Linked DNA regions of Neurospora crassa OR74A. The protein of the gene in region 4 purifies or fractionates together with the protein of the main gene of each other region. This does not show direct contact. Links are inferred from orthologs where the notes say so. Each region holds a gene or a part of one and is shown on either strand. Other genes may lie near its edges. The genes, in order: NCU09437, NCU03808, NCU08026 and NCU00334.

Region 1 (4,306 bases), on a different chromosome or scaffold from region 4:
CGAACCAGGGAATACTTCTCGGTAATAAAGGTCGTAAGGTATATAAGTACTAAAATTCCTTTCTAAAATCACACTATTCTAATACGCAATATAATTTATCGATAGCGAAAAGACTAATCCGTTTATAGAATTCTAGGGACCGCAATACAGCCTTAAATTTCGTACTTATCGTAAGTTCCGGGCTCAATAGAATATAAGTATAATCGCCGCATTAAATTTAGTCCCAAATATCCCAGTTCTATATATAAATTAATAAAGGTACTTAAGATTCGTAAAAAAGGGCAGAATACTTACTTTTAAAGTCACATCTTTATTTACCTATACTAGCTTTAAATCTAGCACTTTAGTAATAATATTATTATATTAACTTTCTCCAAACTTAATTAACAGTATAATCTATATTGTAATTTTATTATATAAAGCTAAAAATATATATAGGACAATACTTTTTCCGTAGCCCATTACTGCGACTAATATTATATCCTTCTATTCGTACGCCAACCGTACTACCGCCTTAACCTAGCCTTTTCGAGGGTCTTTACTATTACTAATAATATCTTTTATTACCCGCAATATACGCTAGGGGTCAACGGAGGGATCGAAATTAGGATCTATAGTATTAATACCTATAGAGGATAGAAAAAATTAAGGAAAAAAAATAACGTACTATAGAGTAAAGAAAACTATACTACTATATTAATAGTCGTATAATATCTATACCTACAAAGTTTTATAGTATTGGGATAAAAAGCCGTACTGTAATATATAGCTAACTAGGCATTGAATATACGGACTTACGTAAAGTTTTTACATTTTCTATAATAATTAATACTTTCAATAGTCGTAGAAAAAAATTAATAATACCATTAAATCCGTCTCAACGAACTCTTTCTCCTCATATCTTTTGTATAACCTAAATCTATTGTTTTATTTTAACGCTATATTATCTTTCTTAGAAGTTTATCAATATAAATTCCCCTATCCGCTTCTAGTCTAATTGGGAATTCAAACCTCTTTTTTAGGCGTTCTTATTCAATACCGGAAAGTATACTAAAAGAATGGGTACACGGATCACAATTTAGAAACTTTAGTAACTTTCAATTTATTATTTTTTTTGAGAACCCCGGGCGCGCAGCGCACGGGCCAGATGTGCGCGCAGCGCACTTTCCCAGCGGCCGCAGGCCGCCCATGCCTAAAAAAGAGGGTCTGATTCTGAGATAAGGGCCGGGCGCTCACTGTCTGTCAGTTGAACCCCACAGGGGCAACCAACCAACATTGCCCCACCCGACTGCCCCTGTCGGGTCTTCCACTGCCCCTGTTTGTGGATTGACCTCTTATCTCTTATCGGAGCTCCAGAGTCTCAAAAAATTTGGGAATTCCCGTCGCAAACTTGAACGAGACTCGAATTTGCAGAACTTCAATTGGAGGGACGACGCTCGGTCCACTGTTGTTTGGCTTTCAGTGCTCTCTCTCTCAGTGTCTTGTCACTATCAATTTCCTGTCTCCATTCCCAGGACATCCTCCTCCACCATCACCATCATATACCTATACCACCGCCACACATACAATGGAACCCGGATCAGCAAAACGACGCAAGATTGGCCATTCACGCGGCGGTGAAAGCGCAGTTGGCAACATCGACGCCGCTGCCTCCTCGGGTCTCTCGCGTGGCCGCGCATTCATCCTCGAAGCCGAAGAACTCGTCGACGAAGTGAAGCTCGACTATGCCACGGCCCTCGAAGGCGTCGACTCCCTCCTCCACAAGATCAAGGGCTCCATCGAAGCCATCGAAGCCCACGATGCCCTCCAGATCGCCGAGGCTGCCACCAAACTCGAAAAGAAACACAAGATCCCGATCCCGTTCCCCGAGCCGCGCCCGTCCGACAAGTCCAACTACAAGGTCGCCTTCGCAAAGCCTTCCCAGTTCAACGTTGTCGGCAGCTATGTGTCCAAGACCATGATCAAGGCCCAAAAGAGCCATGCTGTGGATATGGTGGTTGTGATCCCCGGCGAGACTCTGCAAGAGAAGGACTACCTCGACCTGCGATACTTTTACAAGAGAGCCTACTTCCTCGGTGTTGTGGCTGCTGCCCTACAAAAGGACCTGGCTGATGATGGAGAGCTTTCATACGAATACCTGAATGGGAACACCCTGTCCCCCATTTTGTCGTTGAAACCAAAGGTGGAAGGAGAAAAAAAGGAGGGCCAGCTGGACTACAGAGTGCGCATCATCCCTTGCGCCCCAGACAACTTCTTCCCCAAATCAAAGCTTCACTTGGGCGCTACCCTCGTGCGCAAAGCTGGCGGTGACGAGTCCAAGGCCGCGACCAAGCCTACGCCCTTCTACAACTCGACGATTGTTTCCGAGTCCTGCTTCTTTCCCTACTTGAAGCTCTTGCGACAAACCGAAAAGAAATGCGCCGCGTTCAAGAAGGCTTGCATCCTGGGTCGGGTGTGGTTGCAACAACGAGGACTGGGAAGCGATATGGCGGACGGTGGTTTTGGTCACTTTGAATGGGCGGTACTTTTGGCCCTTCTGCTCCAAAGCGGCGACAGCACCAAGGGACATGCGCCCTTGTCTACATCCCTGAGCGCCACCCAGTTGTTCAAGGCCATGGTCCAGTTCTTGTCTGTTACTAACCTGTCCGAGAAGCCGTGTGTTTTGGGAACTGCCACCGTCGAGTCCGAAACCACTGGTCCGGTTCTCTTCGACGCTGTTCGTGGTTTGAACGTTGCCTTCAAGATGAGCAACTGGTCTGCGGCCAAGCTACACCAACACGCCAAGTGGACAAGGAGCCTTCTCAACGACAGCACTGCCGACCAGTTTACCCCTACCTTCATCCTCAAGGCCGACCTCCCCTGGCAAAACTACGACCTCATTGCCCACCTCAACTACGATGGAAAGCAGGACAAGACAGAACCGATTGACTGCCGGGGACGGCTATGGGAATACAGCGACAAGGTGCACAGGGTTCTCAAGCGGGCTCTTCAGGACGAAGAACTAGGTGAAAGGGCTCGGTCGATTCACATTCAACTACCCAAGAGCTCATCCTGGGATCTCACCAAGAAACCCTCCACCAAGCAGAACCACACAATCGAGATTGGTGTCCTCTTCAATGCCGCCAACATGACCCGCTCTGTCGACCGCGGTCCGGCCGCTGGACCTAGCAACGAGGAGAAGGAGGAATGCGCCAAGTTCCAGCGGTTCTGGGGTGAGAAATCGGAACTTCGTCGGTTCGAGGGTGATTCTATCAGGGAGACCTTGATCTGGTCGTCCACCTCCCCCTTTGACCTCTGCGAGGAAATTATGCGCTACATCCTCAAGCTCCATCTTCGCGTTGGCTACCTCGAGGACGAGCTCACCTTCCACGGCGATGGCTTCACCGAGTTGATTCCTATCAAGCCGACCGACACCTCCGTCTTCAACGCCGCTCGCAAGGCCTTTTCCTCCTTCGAGAAGGATATCCGCGACTTGGACGACATGCCGCTGCACGTCAGGCAAATAGCCCCCATCTGCCCCGAACTGCGACACGCCTCCGTCAAGGTGCCCTTCTCGACCGTCAACAAATCCGGCCCACGCCCCCTGGAATGCGTCATCTCCTTTGAAGCCTCCGGCAAGTGGCCCGAATCCATCGTGGCCATCCAACGCACCAAGATCGCCTTCCTGCGCATGATCGGCGACCTCCTGGAGCGTTCCAAGCCCGGCGAGGTCCGCTCTTACGTCGGTCTCGAGTCCTCTACCACCACCAACACGGAACTCGAGAACCTCGCCTACCTCGACATCGTCTACGAGTCCGGTCCTGCCTTCCGCCTGCGCATCCACTCTGACCTCGAAGAGGCCCTCCTCACGCGCCAATCGCACGACAAGACCATCGACCAACACCACCGCCACCAAGCCTCCGTGCTCCTCTCCAACTTCCGCAGACTCTACTACCACCTCCCTCTGCACACTCAATCCATCAACACCTTCGCCACCCGCTTCCCCGCCTTCTCGCCCACCGTCCGCCTGCTCAAACACTGGTTCTCCTCACACAAACTCGCCTCCCACTTCACCCCCGACTTCATTGAACTCGTCGCCCTCCAGACTTTCTTGAGCCCCTACCCCTGGGACGCACCCTCCTCCCCTTCCGTCGGCCTTCTCCGCGCCCTCCTCTTCGTCAGCAGATGGGACTGGCGCTCCGAGCCGCTCATCGTCGACACCAACAGCGACATGCCATCGTCCGAACGCTCCGCCATCGCCACCCGTCTCGAAGCCTGGCGCAAGATCGATCCGCTCATGAACCACACCGTCCTCTTCGTCGCCACG
Region 2 (4,197 bases), on a different chromosome or scaffold from region 4:
AGCAGGGTTAGGGTCTATGGCTAAGCCTTGTCCCTCAGCTCGTCCACTTGAGCCCCTCTTGCCTTCAACATCATCCTATCATCCTATCATCCTGTTTGGATCCTTGCTCGAAATTGTCGATCTGCCTGGAGTCGCTTTTCGTTTGACACACATCTTTTGTGTTGCTGCAAGATCGGGCTCACTGCCCTCCATTGTTCTGTGTTCTACATCTCTAGGATTAAACTGGCCAGCAGCCCAGCCATCGTTCCCCTGTCTTCCCAGAACCTGCCTTAAGACAGACCAGCCCTCACTTACATCTTCTCAGCCGACCACATCCACCGAGTTGCGAACATGCTCATTCCCGATAACCACACATTTGGTTTCTACTCCCCGCTTCACCAGAACTGCTCATCGCGATAGCCTCAACTCGAACTTGTTACTGCGAGATATCGTTCACTCCATGACATTTACTATTAGAGGACTTGTTGTACCAACTCGACCACGTCATAGAAGGAGTCACTAGTAGTGGTGTCGACCTTCTCCAGGCCCAAACCAAGCAACAAAGACCGCTGCTCATTGGGGTTGCGCAAAGTCAGGAGACTGGCAATTTGACTGGCATAAAGCTGGCCCATGGTCTCCCTCTCCGCATTTCCACCTCCAAGAAGAGTCGTTGCTGTTAAATGTTCTGATGGTAACAGGCTACCGGCGCCAGGCAGAGCCATGTCTACTGACGCGGAAGAAGGTGCGGCTAGTTGTACTTGGACCTAGAACATGGTATGTTAGTAGACTGTAAGTGGGATGGCGTTCGGGCGCTCTTGAACCTACCCACTGAGCAAGGCGCCCACCTTGAGAAATGGTGACCATGATCTTGTCCGAGAAGTTCATTGATGAAACCTCAGTTTCCACTCCGTTGACAAGCCCAGTTGCCTGCCTGGAAGGTGACGGGAATGGCTCTTGCCTGACTGCGTCCTCAGACATGGTGAGTTCTGGATGTGGTGAAGTATGGACAGTTGCAAGACTCGAAAAACCGCGTGTGTTTCAAAGGATAAGACCGTAGGGGGATAACTTCGGCTTCTGTACTCCTGGTCGGATAGTACTCTCTGATGTCTCTACTGCGTTCATATTCAGAGTTTAGACGCGGGACTCCATCGTGATGTTTGTTGATGGAGCCGGAGTGGGCTGGGCTGCAGAGTTCAGGATGGACCCACGAAACATAGCAAACTGTACGCGCACTGTAGCTGGGTTACTTCAGTTGCTGTCCTGGACCCTCACAGGCCCCCAAAACGTGGGGTGCCACATTTAGCGCAGAAATTCTGCCAGGCGGACAAGATTTAATCTTCAAATCTTCAGGGTACTTGGTGACTTTCAGTTCGTTGCATTCTGCCGTCGCGACACCGGCCCTCATTTCTGCCGTCACTGCTCGCCTCGAGCACACCCGATAAAACAACAACATGGCTGTCATAGACGGGAAGTTCGTGCCGCGTCAGCGCAAGCGCAAGCAGCTTGATCGCCAGCGGTCGAGGAGTAAGGGAACACAAGACCCCGAAGACACCAACGTCCTCGAGATCGCTCCTGGACAGGAAACCACCACGGATGCCGAAAAGAAGAAGACCGAGCTACGGGAGGAATTGAGGCCTGCGGGTGTCAAGGTCAGCAGCAAGAAGGCCAAGAGACTCGAAAAGTACATCGACACAAAGCTCAAGAAGGACGAGAACCGCGAACTCCTGGCCAAGCTTGCCGCCAACAAGATCGACACCTCCCTATTCTCAAGCACAAAATCACTAGGCCAAACAAAATTGACCAAAAAGGAGGAGCTCAGCCGGCTTGTCAAGGAAGCAAAAGCTGGACTTATAACAGAGAAGGAGGCGGCCAAGAAACTTTACGAAAAGCGAGAGGTGAAGGAAGGTGCACCAGTACCAAAGCCTAAACCCACGGTCGACGAGGATTCAGAGGGCTCGGAAGATGAGCAGGACTCGGCAGCCGAGAAGCCAAGGAGCGCGCCAGCGGAAACAAGCGAGCCTACACCAGTACAAGCGACGACATCGTCAACAAGCCTGCCAGTACCTGTCGGTGCTGGTCTCAAGCGCCCCTTAGAGGTCGACGAGTCAGGACGCCCAATACTTGCCAAGAGACAAAAGAGAGGAGGTGTGAAAACGAAGCACAACTTTACATCATCGCAAGCTCCCGCAGTCATTCCTGTGCCGGAAGTGGTAGAATGGGACGGTTTCAGTTCGGAGGGCGAAGAGGGTTCAGACGATGAAGAGTCTGAGGGTAGTGGTTCAGGCAGCGAGGAAGAAGGCAGTGAAGAGGAGGAGGAGGAATCGGGAGAAGAGGATGGATCTGAAGAGAACGGAGAGGGTTCCGAAGATGATTCAGAAGACGATGATTCTGCGGAAGAATCCGACGAGGACATGGAGGACGCCGAGGAGGACAAGAAAGCAAAGTCTTCAGCCTTCAAGGCTTGGGCGCATCAGGCGAGGAACGAAGCTTTGGGTTACAAGCCTGCTGAATCAAGCATTCTCGAGATACCGAAACCTGCCAACTTTACGCCTCGGCCGATCGAACAAGAGCCTCTGCCTATCGAGCTGCAACCAACAAAGAACGATTCCCGCAAGGCTTTCGCCGTGGTAGTTACCAGGACACCCGAGATCCAGGAAACTCGTTTCAGGTTACCGGTTGTTGCAGAGGAACAGAAGATTATGGAGGCCATTCACGACAACGACATTGTCATCATTTGCGGTGCCACCGGTTCCGGCAAGACCACGCAGGTTCCCCAGTTCCTCTTCGAGTCCGGTTACGGTGTTCCGGATGGACCTACTCCTGGCATGATTGGTGTCACCCAGCCGAGACGTGTCGCTGCTGTCAGTATGTCGAAGCGTGTTGGCGAAGAAATGGGAGACTATTCACATGTGGTTTCCTACCAAATCAGATTCGAAGGCACCGTTGACTCCAAGACGGCCATCAAGTTCATGACGGATGGTGTCTTGCTTCGTGAGGCGGCCATCGATATTGCTCTTCGCAAGTACTCTGCCATCATCATTGATGAAGCCCACGAGAGAAGCGTCAATACCGATATCCTGATTGCGATGCTCAGCAGAGTGGTCAAGCTTAGGAGAGAGTTGGCGGAGGAAGACCCCACGATCAAGCCTCTCAAGCTGATCATCATGTCCGCCACCCTCAGGGTTGAGGAATTCACCCAAAACTCTAACTTGTTCCACACCACTCCTCGCATCATTGAGGTAGAAGGCCGTGAGCATGCTGTTACCATGCATTTTGCCAAAAAGACAAACCACGACTACGTTGATGAGGCATTCCGCAAGATTTGCAGGGGCCACAGGAAACTGCCCCCTGGTGGCATGCTTGTGTTCATGACCGGTCAGGGTGAAATTGCCCAGCTCAGCAAGCGGTTGAAGGCGCGTTTTGGTGGCGGTATGAACACCGCCAGCACCACCAAGGTGCGGATTTCTGCGAAGGAGGCACCCATGGAAGTCGAAGACATCGACTTTGGCGACGTTGAGGATGACCGTAACATCAACGACAGAGACGATGACGATATCTCCATTGCGTCGGACGAGGAGGAAGACAAGGAGTTCGAGATTGAGGACCAAGAATCTGGTACAGGGCCATTGAAGATGCATATCCTACCTCTCTTCTCTTTGCTCCCCACGAAAGAGCAGATGAAGGTGTTTGAGCCGCCCCCAGAGGGCCACCGTCTCGTCATCCTGGCTACCAACGTCGCTGAAACATCCTTGACAATTCCCGGCATCAAGTACGTTTTCGACACTGGAAGGTCGAAGGAGAGAAAGTTCGATCCTGTCAGTGGCGTCCAGAGTTTCGAGATTGGGTGGATCAGCAAGGCCAGCGCAAAGCAGCGTGCCGGTCGTGCCGGTCGTACCGGTCCGGGACACTGCTGGAGACTCTACTCCTCGGCCGTTTACGAAAGAGACTTCCCCGAGTTTTCAGAGCCCGAGTTGCTTCGCATGCCCATCGAGGGCGTTGTGCTCCAGCTCAAGTCCATGAACCTCCAGCATGTCGTCAACTTCCCCTTCCCCACGCCGCCACCGCGTGAGAGCTTGATCAAGGCCGAGAAGCTTTTGACCTACCTCAACGCCATCTCCCAAACTGGCCAAGTCACCCCCATCGGATCTACCATGTCCATCTTCCCGCTCTCTCCCCGCTTCGCTCGCATCCTTCTTATCGGACATCTCCACGACTGCC
Region 3 (3,722 bases), on a different chromosome or scaffold from region 4:
GGAATAATTAAAAGTGTACAGTGTGGTAGGTAGGTAGGTAGGTAGGTAGGTAGGCAGCCGGGACCGTCGGAAGAAACGAGAGTAGGGGTGGTTTTGGGAAAAGTGAAATGACCAGGTGCGAAGCGAGAGAAAACTCGCCCGAAAGCTGGGTGAGGTGAGATTTTGGAGGATGACGGGAAAGATTGGATTGTCAGGTCGTTTTACAATTCCCGCCTGAGTGGACAATGTGGGCCGAACTGGGAAATGTCTGTAGTTTTTTGGAGGGACCGTGGGGGGGCAGATAAGGAGAAGTTCAGGGGAAAGAGGGGCCCGGGACCACGCCACGCCGGGGGGCGCCCCGTCGCTGAACGCGGCCGGCACTGTGCCAATATGTGAGTGGTGGTACCACGTCCGCCTTCGGATGCAGTGACTTCAGTTCCATTGGGTTTCCTTGGTGGCGTTCGTAATGCTGAAAGTTACGGACCAGAACGCCGGTAATAACGCAACGTTACTCGATCTTTGTGCAGATTATGTAGTTGATCATGTTATGTTACCTCCACCTCGAAATGTTGATAAAGATACGAGCTATTCACCACAGTCCCCTTCAGATAAAGTGATTAGATCGTGCCGGACACGAAAAGAAAGTAGTTCAGGTGTAGTGTATGTATGCCCTACGCAGTAATAGTGAAACCTCGGTTCATGATCAGCCACCACCTTTGGCCATGTCTGCCCTGCTTCGAACATGCCGTGCTGCTATGAACGAAACGATACGCGTAATCTCCCCACATCATGTTTCCAATTTCAGAAACAGACGATCATTGAGGCGAAGAACGTGGAAGCTTCTCATACCCCGCGGTTCATAATGTTTCGGCAGTCAACCTCAGAGGGTAGCTCTGCATACCAGCCACAACGCTTCTTGGACGTCATTCGTCCATCACACTGCGATCTTCCAGCTGAGTTTCAGCAAAAGAGCGCTCGCTCAACCTGTCAGACCTTGACAGGCATCTCGAAACTATTCCCGCCGGAAGTTGACCATTCCATTCTTGCAGTCAGCCGCCGAACCTCGGAACGCAGTTCTGTTGTCGCTGCTATCGATTGGCATCTTCCGTTACTTCTGCCCTACATATGGGCTATTGCGAAAGACCAAGTGGCTGGTAGCTCGACCTATTGCATCAGAAGCTGGTCTTCGGGTCGATAAATCGACCAAAATCGTAGAGGTACTCAAAGACCATGAACCGTCAGACCATAGAATTCCATGCGTTTTTCCCGTTGATGGACTTACAGGTTTCAATACGAGTATTTCCCATTCGCGCATAGCTAAAACAAATAATACATTGCCGCGCCGACCTCATGATCACCCAACGGTCTCGTTCAGGCAGTCCACGAGCACGCGGTTGGCGCTCTTGGAAGCCTGAATGCCCTTTTCAATCAGCTGCGTATAAACGTCCATATCGGACGCAGGTAGGTCACCCTTGAACCAGAGGTTGGTGACCTCTTGTCGTGTGGGAAGATATGCGATGCAGCACGCTGCAAGAACCTTCTCATGCTCAGAAGGAATCGGGTCGACAACTATGCTGGGAGCAGCGTCATTACCTGCGTCCTGTACCAACGCAGCAACACCTCCGGCCACAGTGTCGACGCAGTCAATGCCAGCGTCAGCAAGTGCAGCCGAGGCAACGGTGATGCAGCCACTCAAGGCATTCATGGTGTCCCAGGCCTCAATACCCTGGGCCTTGGAGGTCTCCCGATCTTGCTCTCCTTCAACAATGGAGATGATGATATCCACTCCACTCTTTGGCCAACGGTCAGCAATGATAGATCCCCGAAGAGCCGTCTCAAGGTGAGTGCCGAGATCTCTCTCGATCGGGTCACGAATGTAACCACGCCTTTGCTTGGTCGCAAAGGGTGCAAACTTGACATGGGTGGACAAGATGATGTGAGGAGAAAAAGGTGTTGACCTGGGCAAAGCTCTAGGTCCATGAACGCTGCAACTGAGCTTCAAGCCAGAGCCGCCGTTTCCAGACGACTCGATCTCTAGGTAAGCAGAGCCAGAGGCCGACGGTGTCACTCCCGTCTTGAGATCTAAACGTGAGGTTAGTCTGTGTCTGCGAAACAGGAGGGTTTGTCCTCGACGTGCTTACACATTTTGCGAATTACGTTCGCCGGGCGTGACCTTGTGACCTTGAAACCTTCGGATTGCTTCTCGGGTGCATCGTCATAGATGGGAGGGTTGGTAGTCCCAACCGGTCCGTTAATACGTCTTCTGTCGGCCATTTTGAAGCCAAGATACGAGGGCCGGAGATATGGTGGGCTTGGTGATTGCTGTGTTGTTTCCGATGCCCTTCTCTGGTCGAAGAATCCTGAGATAGGTGAAGAGGAAGAGACCTCGTCTGTGTATGGCTTTCCTTGTTTCACGGTTGGTAACTTCTGTTGGTACCTCTGTTGACTGTTGAAAACAAGACGTGAGAGTCGCCGTCTACACTGCAGTGGGTCCACTCTCAAATTCAAGTAGTTGTGGCGCAACCTCACATTCACTGTCGATTTTGATCAGTCAGCCACATGCCCCACCCAGAATTCCATGTCAAAGCCACCGATGGAGGAATTTTTTGCGCAGCTACAAAACTCTGCCGCCTTCAGTTCCAACCTCATCTTGAACTCTTCCACCAACCCACACCGTTCGCAACGGCAGGAACGGCTTGCGATTGTCGGCATTGGATCAATGCCTTCATTTGATATGGCCACTGTCTTTGGGGAGCAGCCATGATACCATGGTCTTACCGTGCTCATGGTCGCTTTGGTTGGGCAGCCTTCTGCGCTGGCGCAGCAATGGCATGGTCATGTCAACTGTCCAGGCATGCTCTTGGTTATTCTGCGATGGCGAACCCCATTGCTAGAGAGCATGTCCTGGCTGTCTGACATGGCCGACGTTGGTTCGCACGGATAGAGTAAGTTTATTTCCCCTTGCCTTTCACATCTCATGATGATCCCATAACCACAGTTCTCGCGATAATCTCTGAGCGATCGAACAAACATGCACTACCATCTGACTACTCCTTCAACACATCCTTCACTTGCAACTCATTTGGAGGAACCGTTGACTGACAATCAATAGTACAGACAAAGTTGTTATTGTCACCGTTGCTGTTCCACTCCGTTTTCTCAGTCTCTACCCACTAGGTAAGCATCACATTGTTTTCCTTTCTGTTTTCTTTCCCCCACCTGACATCATCACCCACCCGATTGTCCATGATGAAACAAAATATTTTCAGTTCTGCTTCTGAATAATAATGAGCGATAACCAATTATACCAAAACCTTCTGATATGGCAATCACCCCAACTCTTTCTTGCAACGACAGCCCTCACCACACATGCTGCGAGCAAGTTGGCTAACAAACTTCAAGTTATATAGGATCTGAAAACGATCTTGCGTCTAGTGGGAGAGTCGACATGCCCATCTGGTAGGTACTTTGCCTTTTTTTTTTTTCCTTTGTCCCATGCACAATGATGACAACAGTCTATCCATTCAACGATATGTACGGGCCGAGCCATCCATCCGCACTGGAGCGTCTTTCGGGGCGTGAGGACTAGTTGTGGTGTCTCCCTTCGGGGTGTCATTTGGCTTCCGTTGTCCGAGTCTCCTGCGCACCGTTTTGGGGCGTGGGAGGCTTGGGCCGGCTTTGTAGGGCTGAGTTAAAACGGCTTGTCTGATCTGTGTCGTCTTCGCCTTCTGCTCGATGCCGAT
Region 4 (3,261 bases):
AGAGGTGGTGCGGATCAAGGAAGGCTTGGTAAAGAAGGTCTTCGAGGGCGAGAAGAGCGCAAGTATCAGAGACTCGAGGGTGTTGCCGGTGTCGGCACTAACGGGGACGGGCGTGAGGGAGGCGGTGGAGTGGGTTAGGTCAAGGGTAAAGTGGAACAAGGAGTCGAGGCCGCCGGTTATGCGGTGAGAAGCGGGAGCGGTTGATGATGAAAGACCAATTCATGACATAACCCACGTTCGCGACCAATATCGACGAACATCGACAGCGCCGGGGCAGAGGATTCTATGTGGGAGCCAAATCCTCCCTTTGGGTTCGGCAGGCAATGCTTGGATCTTGCCTGCCGTCGAGGATCAATATCGCTTCCTGGAAGACTTAAGAACTAGGCCAGGAGCGGTACGTGATCACGCAGGTTTCTTCCAAAAAGACCTACAACACCCTGCCATCACGCGAGATTACCCTGCCATCAGATCAAATCACTTCAGATTCGGGCAAGATTGGATCGTGGGGGGAGTGGCGTAGAAGCAAATTTAGGGCTCAGGCTTGGTCTAAACTAAAGTTTGGAGCTCATTGCGTCCAGAGATAGAGGCTAGGACCCTGTGGTTACCTGGCGCCAATGCTTTCACCTCATTCATCTGGCAGCTTTAGCGGCAGATGAGGACTTGGGGACTGAGCTGATGGCGAGATACACTGTGTAACGTTAGATGGCAATTTCGGTCGCCGCTAACGGGATAACTCCCTTTAGACATGAGGGAGGATACGGCACTCGCGGCGCCCCCCATCATAATAATAGAGCCCATTCCGCGGAGTGACTTGCCTCTTGGACAATTCTTGCCGTTCTCTTTTGACTGAGAAAAGTAAAGAGACCAGCTGTAGAGCTGTCCCATATCCTCGTCAGGTTTCGCCTTCAACCACACAGCCTTGTTGTTCTGCTTGGCTCTATGGCCGTACCTGGGTATCTCACTTCTTCCTCTTACGTCCTCAACCGCTTCACCCAACAATGCGATCATTCTCCGCCCTCAACTCAGCCATAAACCCACCCTTATCCCTCCTCTTTGCGTCCTCCGCCAACTTGTCATCCAAGTAAGTGGAGAACTCCTTCACCTTCGTCAGCGCCACGCTGGTACACTGCAGTAGCGCAACTGCCTCGACCGGTACACCCCCGAGCTTCGCGATCTGGCAGATCTCTCCGTGCCTGTTCAAACTAATCGTGACACTGGCGACCCTGACTTGCTCCTCCATCCAATCCGCATCCAACAACGCTGTCTCACCCTCCTCGCCAAAGAAACTCCACGTCACGCAGAAAGGCGAGTGCAGCCAGCCCAGCGGCACCGGCTCCCGCTCCGCAGGCGTGTACACCGTCAGCACGCCATTCTCCATGCTGGTGTCGGGCTTTCGGAAGTGGCGAAGGGCGGCGACGACGGCGAAGCAGGCCGCATCGGTCAGGTTGCCGTCGTGCGAAAGCACGTGCACGTCGACCCGGACGGACCAGCACTTTTGCCCCGCGACCAGACAGAGCGACTCGGTGTCGAGGGCGCCGGAGCGCCGGACCGTCTTTTCGAGCAGGCGCGAGAGCAGCACTTCGGTTTCGGTGGGCCGGTTCACTTCGAAGTGAGGCGCGGCCATGGGGGAGAGTTCGGTGGCGATGGTGAAGATGCCGTCGAGCGGGCGGTCGGCGAAGGGGACTGTTACTTCGGCGGAGGCTTTGGCAAGAATTCTAAAGATGGGAGTCCCGGTTAGTATCTTGGTGCCTCAGGGGTAGGATATGCGTGGTGGTGGTGAGAGTACACAAACGTACTTTGTCTTGCCAAGCGATACATTGGCGACGCCATATTCGTCTCCAAACGTGAGCTCTAGTGGACGGTATTGGTCGAATTCACGGCCATCGAGGCGAATCTGTTCGTCTTGAAGCGCCTTCAAGAGAAAGGCCTTCTCGTTGGCTGACGGTTCTGCTTCTCTGGGCATGTTGACTGAGGTTTGTTTACTTTTTCCCTTTGAAAATACGTGGTTGCGGATCTAAAGAATCGGGCAACATCACTGGTTAGGTAGGTGCTGCAGTTGCAGTCGCTATGGTCACCGTTTCTGCCACTAAAGTCCGCCAGAATTTGGCGGGTTTTGCCGCTGGCGGTCAAGAAGTGCGCCTGCGAGACTGAACCCCAGGGCGTCATTGGATCCATTTGTACCACTACTGCCAGCCAGTTCCTTCTTCAGACTTCAGAGCCATTGCTTCAAATCAGGAACAACTTTACTTCCCTCTGCAGCAATTTCCACTTCCAACACCCCTCAACAAATCACGGCCCATCTCGCCCTCTATTGCGCGCGCTTCATCTCTCACGCACCGGCATCATCTATCAACTCAAGAAAAGAACTGCGTAACCGAACCAAGCCGCCAGAATGACCACAGCTCACAGACCTACCTTCGACCCGGTACGCATCCCACCACCCTCATCCTTCTCATCCCCAACCAATCCCGCCATCCTCTCGTGCACCCACTAACATCCATTCTTCTCAAAACCAGGCCAAAGGCAAAGAAGCCCTCCGCGGTCCCGCCTACCACCAGCGTCTCCTACCCGCCTACACCCAGCTCAAGTTCCGCAAGCCCGGCCAAGGCGGCGTTGCGGGGGCATCTGAAGAGCGCGACACGCGCGACCTGCGCGCTGAGCTGCTGGCTGCCGAGGAGGCGCACAAGGCCAAGTTGAGGGGCGGACCTGCTCTTACCTCTGGTGATGACGATGTCGATAACGAGAAGGCGGGAACCAAGCGCCCATTGGCTTTGACGGGCGGTGATCACAACAAAGAGGAGGAAGACCAAGAAGCGAAGCGACGAAGGATATTAGAGTTGACGAGGGAGATTGATGCGGATGATTCTTCTGATGATGTTGATGACGACGACGCGGATGCCGATGACGCCGATGCCAAATCACCAAAAGCCCAGAAGAACCAAGATGACGACGACGCCTCTTCAGACTCCTCCGATTCTGATTCCGACTCCGACTCCGACTCAGACGACGAAGAAGCCGAACTCCAGCGGGAACTCGAGCGCGTGCGTCGCGAGCGTCAAGAGAAGCGCGAGCGCGAGGAGCTTGAGCGCCAAAAGGCCGAAGAAGAACAGCGCGAGAAGGACATAGCGCTCGGGAACCCGCTGCTGAACAAGCCGGACTTTACGGTCAAGAGGAGGTGGGACGACGACGTGGTCTTCAAGAACCAGGCGAGGGGTGTGGACGATAGGAATAAGAAGAAGGAGTTTGTCAATGATTTGTTGA

What was found.
Region 1: the proteins of NCU00334 (region 4) and NCU09437 purify together in Saccharomyces cerevisiae (affinity purification with mass spectrometry, with the first as the bait; 3 studies listed by BioGRID). This does not show direct contact. The link is inferred for Neurospora crassa OR74A from reciprocal best matches to the Saccharomyces cerevisiae genes RRP45 and UTP22.
Region 2: the proteins of NCU00334 (region 4) and NCU03808 purify together in Saccharomyces cerevisiae (affinity purification with mass spectrometry; 6 studies listed by BioGRID). This does not show direct contact. The link is inferred for Neurospora crassa OR74A from reciprocal best matches to the Saccharomyces cerevisiae genes RRP45 and ECM16.
Region 3: the proteins of NCU00334 (region 4) and NCU08026 purify together in Saccharomyces cerevisiae (affinity purification with mass spectrometry; 5 studies listed by BioGRID). This does not show direct contact. The link is inferred for Neurospora crassa OR74A from reciprocal best matches to the Saccharomyces cerevisiae genes RRP45 and MTR3.

Annotation. Positions count from the first base shown.
Region 1 is NC_026507.1:182,534-186,839, reverse strand, and holds the start of NCU09437 (hypothetical protein), read left to right. Parts: upstream 1-1,482; 5' UTR 1,483-1,567; coding exon 1,568-4,306. UniProt on the Saccharomyces cerevisiae protein: Involved in nucleolar processing of pre-18S ribosomal RNA and ribosome assembly.
Region 2 is NC_026505.1:2,474,204-2,478,400, forward strand, and holds the start of NCU03808 (pre-mRNA-splicing factor ATP-dependent RNA helicase PRP16), read left to right. Parts: upstream 1-1,361; 5' UTR 1,362-1,430; coding exon 1,431-4,197. Other genes in the region: NCU03807 (hypothetical protein), read right to left, coding at 453-743, 805-957. UniProt on the Saccharomyces cerevisiae protein: Probable ATP-binding RNA helicase. Required for 18S rRNA synthesis. May play a role in restructuring of the pre-rRNA.
Region 3 is NC_026504.1:3,956,872-3,960,593, reverse strand, and holds NCU08026 (3' exoribonuclease), read right to left. Parts: upstream 2,447-3,722; 5' UTR 2,254-2,446; coding exon 2,121-2,253; intron 2,062-2,120; coding exon 1,334-2,061; 3' UTR 1,262-1,333; intron 1,200-1,261; 3' UTR 502-1,199; downstream 1-501.
Region 4 is NC_026503.1:3,487,041-3,490,301, forward strand, and holds NCU00334 (3' exoribonuclease), read right to left. Parts: upstream 2,033-3,261; 5' UTR 1,964-2,032; coding exon 1,797-1,963; intron 1,716-1,796; coding exon 989-1,715; 3' UTR 506-988; downstream 1-505. Other genes in the region: NCU00333 (ADP-ribosylation factor family protein), read left to right, coding at 1-187; NCU00335 (pre-mRNA-splicing factor cwc15), read left to right, coding at 2,393-2,425, 2,517-3,261. UniProt on the Saccharomyces cerevisiae protein: Non-catalytic component of the RNA exosome complex which has 3'->5' exoribonuclease activity and participates in a multitude of cellular RNA processing and degradation events.